Oryctolagus cuniculus: one gene and its partner. The protein of the gene in region 2 interacts with the protein of the main gene of each other region in a biochemical or structural test. Links are inferred from orthologs where the notes say so. Each region holds a gene or a part of one and is shown on either strand. Other genes may lie near its edges.

Evidence for each region.
Region 1: the proteins of USO1 (region 2) and STX5 form a complex in vitro, tested with the Homo sapiens proteins (2 studies listed by BioGRID). The link is inferred for Oryctolagus cuniculus from reciprocal best matches to the Homo sapiens genes USO1 and STX5.

The regions. Positions count from the first base shown.
Region 1 is NC_091432.1:8,759,461-8,763,521, reverse strand, and holds the start of STX5 (syntaxin-5), read right to left. Parts: upstream 2,811-4,061; 5' UTR 2,807-2,810; coding exon 2,579-2,806; intron 2,353-2,578; exon of another isoform or gene 2,069-2,352; intron 1,942-2,068; coding exon 1,702-1,941; intron 844-1,701; coding exon 773-843; intron 609-772; coding exon 553-608; intron 436-552; coding exon 365-435; intron 1-364. Other genes in the region: TEX54 (testis-expressed protein 54), read right to left, coding at 2,984-3,198, 3,313-3,385; WDR74 (WD repeat-containing protein 74), read right to left, coding at 3,577-3,756, 4,034-4,061. UniProt on the Homo sapiens protein: Mediates endoplasmic reticulum to Golgi transport.
Region 2 is NC_091439.1:90,095,866-90,098,308, forward strand, and holds the end of USO1 (general vesicular transport factor p115), read right to left. Parts: intron 2,256-2,443; coding exon 2,040-2,255; intron 1,518-2,039; coding exon 1,422-1,517; 3' UTR 513-1,421; downstream 1-512. UniProt on the Homo sapiens protein: General vesicular transport factor required for intercisternal transport in the Golgi stack; it is required for transcytotic fusion and/or subsequent binding of the vesicles to the target membrane.

The DNA of each region.
Region 1 (4,061 bases), on a different chromosome or scaffold from region 2:
AGCTGGCCTGGAAGAGGGGCAACCGGGACAGAATCCGGCACCCCGACTGGGACTAGAACCCGGTGTGCCGGCGCCGCAAGGCGGAGGATTAGCCTAGTGAGCCATGGCGCCAGCCTTTCGTAAGCTTTTTTCAGTACCACTTGCCTCCTACTCATTTTAAGTATGGGTTTATGCAGCTGGAATACTTCTCCTCTTGTTGTTGAGAATGCAAGACTCGCTTCCTGTTTGTGTCAACAGATGTGTCCACTGACTTACTGGAGAAGGGTGTTTAGGGCTGGCTCTAGAAGCTTGCTCTGGCAAGTGGAAAACGATGGCAGTGATGAACAGAATGCTGGGTTCTCCAGATAGTTACCTAGCAGCTCACCTGTTTGATGATGTATGTTAGCTCCTCAATTTCCACTGCTTTATCATCAAAGAGGGACTTGCGCTTTGCCACTACAGAGATAAACAAGAAGCCACGGTGGGTGAGAACAAAGGCAAGGCTCAGGGGGCTGGCTCCTCTGCCCTCTTTGGTTCATCCCACAACCAGTAAAAGATCCCATGAATACTTACGGATTGTCAGCTTCTCCAGCTTGGCAAATGTGTTGCTGAGGTCTTTCCCGATGCGCCTGCAAATGACCAACAGTGAGAACACCATGGAAGGGGGAGGGAGAGGGCTTATTCTCACACTAGCTCTTAGCACAGCCAATCCCAGCCCTTACAGCCAAGTCACCAAAAGCAAGCTTCCTTCCAGACACTGTATCACCCTGCCACAAAGCTGCTCTCAACTCACTTGGCCATGAGGGTGAATTCACTGCGCTGTCGGACAGCACGCAGGGCCGGCTTATTTGTCTGGATTCCATTCTGAAAAGCAATGTCCGGAGGTGAAAACTTCACTTTCCTCCTCCCCACTTCCAGCTTTCAACGTTTCTCGGGCTCCCCCCAAGCTCTCTCTCGTGCTCCCCCCAAGCTCTCTCCAGTTCTGCTGGCCTAGATTTATCAGCAATAGTGTTCAGAAGCCAGATCTGAAGACGGGCAGGCTTAAGCTCAAGTCTGGACTCTACCACTAATTAGCAGAATTAGCGCAAGTTAAACTCTTCTACATCTGTTTCCTCTCCCTGAAGATGAAGACAATCCACTCACCTCTGATAGTTGCTGCCAAAACTAGATAACATAAAGGCTGTAAAGGATTTTAACCAACCACCTGCGGCACTAAAGAAAGATCCCTCACATCGGCATCAAAGAGGAGAACCCGAAAGCTCTTGGAGACCATAGAGAAGAGAAGTTCGTCAACAAGAGCTGAACAATAAAAATATTTTAAAATACTTACTCAGGTCCCACTTAGTGTCAAAATCTGGGGACTTAAACTAGGGACTCTAATTCTTAAACAAACACTCCAAAATGACTTGGATAAAAACGGCCCATCCGGAAAACTTCCTTCTGCTCCCCCACCGTCTCTCTCTGTTTTACAGACTGAAAATTTTAATTTCCCCAGAGTCGCAGAGCAAACTCACGGCAGGACCACACTGCAAGCACAATTCAAGGTGCGTGCCCCACAGCGGGTGGCTCTTTCTAGGTTTATTCCTTATCCAAAAACCCTGCAGCCCTTTAGGCATTCCATCAATCTGACCCTCCGGGGAACTTCTTCCCAAGCCCACGTGTCCCTGATGGTGGGGAGCAGACCTGCCCGGATGTGGGCGAGGCTCCCACTCTGGGCCTTACCTGACGACTCTGCAGCGACTTGCAGGCGGACAGGAACTCCTGGGTCCGATCCCGGCAGGACATGGTGTCGGGAGGGGAGGGGGCCGGGGCCACTGGGGGGGGCAGAGGGGCGATGTCGCTGCTGCTACTGCCAGCAGTTGCAGGGGACAGGACCTGTGTCTTCGAGAGACCCAGGTAGACGCCCTGATCCGTGTTCTTAGACCCGTAGCGTTTCCGCGGGATCATTGAGACGCATAACCTCTGTCGTGGAGGGGAGAGAGTCATTCCCCAAGCAGTGCAAACGCCTTCCCCACAAACGCCCCTCCAACCAGCAAATCCTGGGCCACCCGCAGACCCCGGGGCCGGCGCGCAGCGGGAAGGGCCCCACCTCCTCCGGGCCCGGGTCGAACCCTCCTCAGACTCTTCCAACTCGGCTCCGGCGGCCAGAGCGCGGGTAGGGGGCCCCGAGGCGGAGCCAGAGCCAGGTCCCGAGGCCCTGAGGCTCCAGCCCGGCCTGTGCAACTGCCCCAGCCCCTAACTGGGCCCCCGCATAGCCGTGGTTGCCTCTGACCCTTCGGGAAGAAACGGTGACGGACCTCCTGCGGGGGGACACACTTCGGTGGGCGGAGAGGGAACCTCTAGGTGTTTATTTGAAACAGGAAGTCCCACCCCTGCCAAAGTCCCGCCTCCTGAAGGACTGCGCCACTCATTAGCTAACGCCGACGTCTTTCTCAACAGAGGCTTTCCTGATTGGACGTCGTGGTATTCGCTCACCCGGAGCCGGGCCGGCAGGACTTGCCCGCTCGTTCCCGGCTCCCTTCCCCCGCCCGTCGCTACCCCGGTGAAGTCGCTGCCCAGGAGCTACACGGCGGCCAGACGCCCTCAGGACGAATCCTACCTCCTGTCTGCCGCCTGCCGCCGCAGCTACTGCCACAGCCTCCCGGACCGTCACCGCCTCCTCCCCGGGCTCTGAAGCCGCCGAAATCCGACCGAAACCTAGGGTCCGCCACGTCACCCACACGTAACCCCACCCCCGTGACGGGAAGGCAGCGCCACGCCTTTTCGAGCCCGGCGACCTGGGAGGCACGCCCCCCGCCCAGACGCAAGCGTGGCTCCCCCCTCCCATTGGCCGGGCCGCCGCCGTAGCCCCGCCCCGGGACGGAGCCTTAAAGAGCCCGCCGCCTCCGGGGCCCCTGAGCCCACAGCCCACGGAGCGGGCTGCAGAGGGTACGAGTCATCTGGCGGGTCCACGTTAGAAATTTTATTCTCTGAGGGCTGCGGCGGACTGACAGCAGGGCTGGGGTCACCCCTTCTCCGGCTCTTCCTGGCTTTCCTCAGGTTTGTCTTCCGGGATGGGACTCTCCCTCTTCTGGATCTGCTCTGACTGCCTCTTGCCGGACCGCGAGGAGCCCCGGCGGCTGAACAGGGATAGCCGCCGCCACAGCACGGTGATCAGAAGGCTTTCGTTCGACTTGCGATTCCGGTGGCCAGGGGAGTCCAAATCGATTCCGTGGGCGCCTGCAGGGACGAGGCCGCTGAAATCACCTCTACCCTCCCCGGCCGGACCTCCGGGGCTCTCCCCCGGGGCAGCGCCTTCCCCAGCCTCCGGGCCCTCACCGCCCCTGGTCCTACCTTCCCCAGCTCCCTCGAACTCTTTGGCCTGCTCATCGGTGGTCGGAAAGTCCTTGTCTTGGCAGCAGCCCATGGCCCCGCACGGCCCCTGACTCCGTACCACCCACGCCAGCCTGCCTGGCTCCAGGCCCGGCTTTTGTGACGTCAGATATCCCACTGCCCCAGCGCAGGGAGCCCCCACAAGCCACCCCTCTCCTCCCATCACAAAAGGCTCAGGGTCATGCGGGTATTGAGCTGTTTATTTACAAAACGGGCACAGGGTCTTCAAGGGCTGGTGGAGCCAGCGCGCTTCTTTTTTCTCCGTCTGCTTTGGAGAGCCCCTTGCGCCGGCTCCGAATCAGGGAGTTTGCGCTTGGCAGCTGCCTCCAAAGATGCCCAAAGTTCATCCGTCTCCCTGTCTTCTGAGGGCAGCTCACCGGGCTCTTGAGGCTCTTGGGGTTCATCCTGGAGAGTGGGAACGAAGTGCAGGGTCAGAGGCACAGTGACAGACCCCGGGAAGGAAGCCCTGCCTGGGAGGCAATTCCCCTGAGCATCAGCACCTTTGTCATTTTCCCAGCAACCACTGCTGTCCAAGCTCCTGGAGATGCCACGCTTGGCAGTCACCCTGTCAGAACTTCAGCTGTTCACACCCCAGGAAAATGTAGTAACTGGGCAGCCCCCTGTGTGTTCCAGCTGCCTCTCTCTGTCCTCGGCTGCCGTGTTCCCAGACCCAGTTACTTACCTCCCAGTTATCCCTGCCTGACAGGAGC
Region 2 (2,443 bases):
CTGGGCTTGTCCAGTGCCAGTCACGTAGTTCTCTGACGGCAAACACTGTCTCAGGATGGCAGCGGCAGTGGCAGGGGACTCCGTGCAGTACTCACAGATGCTGTCACAGGCGGCCACCTGCCTCTCTCAGGTGTGAACACCACTCCTCTTGCAAAAGCCTCGGCCTCACAGTGGACTGCTCAAACTACTCCTGGACCCAAGAGGCAGATTTTACGCATTAACCCCCACAGCCCAGGCTGCCCTGCCTTGACGTAAACGCATTTTAGCAAAGTATTGCTAAGAACACCAACTCTGAATTTAGAAACACCCAAGCCCTCTCCAACCTCCTGCATTTCCACAGTGGCTCCACAAGCTCCCTCAAGCACCAGTTCTAATGATGAGCCGCTACGTGACAAGTTACAATAAAGTATTCAGGGTAAGAGAATTCCCCTCACTATTCCCACTTGCCTCACCGTCCATTAGCAATCAAATACTTCTTTCAAAATCTAAAAAAAGGGAACCATGACCAGGGATTAAGTGAACATATTATCTATTTTTATTACGAAAACATTAAATTTTGACACACTGCTTCATTTGCTTTTTAAAAATCTATTATCTGACTTAAACCTATTCAGCACAAATGCCAATAAATTATATAAATCATAGTTTGGGTCTTTTTAAAACTAGGAACATAATATGTTTGATGATAATCAAGTAACAGTGCTAAATCTGAGCTGTGTGAGCTGTTAACTTGTAATTTTGCTTTTGATGTTTAGCTTAAAATAAAAAGAAACCAAATGTGTTAACACACTGTCGCCAGAGCTTCTCGGAAGCACCCTTCACATCGCTGTGCCGCTGCGCCAGCACCCTTCCGTTTCCTCACCGGCTACAGGACGCCGCCAGCTGGAAGAACCCCTGTGCTGCACTGGCCTCCCCTGCTCCGACGGATGGCGGGGATCTGCATTACCCCCAGCCCACGCTAACCTGCCTTTATGTAAAAGCATTTCTTTAAAAGGAAACCATCATCAGCTAAGAACTCAAAGGTTGCATTTAGAAATGATTCCCATTCAATATATATTAAATCAAAATGTGTTAGTACATAGTCATAGGTTCTGAAAAGAAAACATCCAATGAACTAAGGCAAATAGCACTGCCACCACATGCCTTCAAATGGTATATTTTTGGTGTCTGAAATTCTATGCAAATCATATTTTTGGATAGTTCAGATGAATTTAAATATAAGATGTGTGTTCTGCATAAAGCTAAGAGTTTTAGGGTTTTCAACATGGGTGGCAACCTTTAAAAAATACATCAATAGCCTTATTAGTGAGTGTTTTCCACTTGGTTTCTAAACCTTTATTTTCTTGTGGAGGCAAACCAAAGCACTGTCTCAGGATTCTACCTTCTGAGTTACAATATGATCTCTACCATCCCTAGGGATTTTAAAGGTAGCCCTGATCCTGGTCCTTGCCACCATCTTCCGTTTCATCATCCTCATCTTCCTGGTCTCCAGATTCAAGTTCATCCTCTTCTTCAACCTAAGGGAAAAATACAAGTTTAACATTAAGATGTGTTTACTTCACATTCATTAGGTAACAATACACACTGTTGATAAATTCCGTATTCTAATAATTACAGAATATAAGCCACCTGATTTAATGCACAAGTCTCCCTGTCGTTTTTAACACAAATGAGATCTACTGGTTAACTTTGCTGACAGATGGCTACCCACCCTCTGCACAAATCCGGACCGAATATGGCCAAAGACATTGGCACACTTGGGTGTAACAGTCCTGTCATCACAGGGACAATCAAATCAATTCACTTTCCAGGTTTAGGATCCAAAAGACAGTCTACAAGTGCTGGAGACTGAACCTAATCTGTGTCTTGGGTCAATTCACTGAACACAGTGGAAGCAAGACAGAGGACAGACACCACTTCATGAGCCCATGTAACCGTGTCTGTAATACAGGCACCACTTCTCCCTGCGGCACTAACGTTCTACAGCAGGCATTATAAAATAACATAACACATAATACACATCAACATTCCAATCTTACTGGATGACCAAGATCCTTGAGTTTATTCTTCAAAGACAGTATTTTCTGATCTTGATCAGCCAGCAGCACCAAGAGATCGTCTTGTTCTTTTTTGGAGTCAGTGATTTCCAACTCTAGTTTGTCTTTCTCGTTTTGTAAAATGGCGATGGTGCTGTTAGACGAATCCAACTGCTCTTTAATAGCAGTTCTTTCCTCAGACAAAGCTTTAATTTCATTCTAGGAAAAAAAAAGGTGGGAATATCAAATATCAGACATGACACACACATATCTAGTAACACAAGAATTTGTTTCACTACTCATCAAGGATGGTTATTTGAAAAGCAGTTTAACATATAGCAGTATTTCACCATTCCTCAAAAAGTCCTAAGAAGAGCTAGCATCTGACCTAGTGGTTGACACCTGGG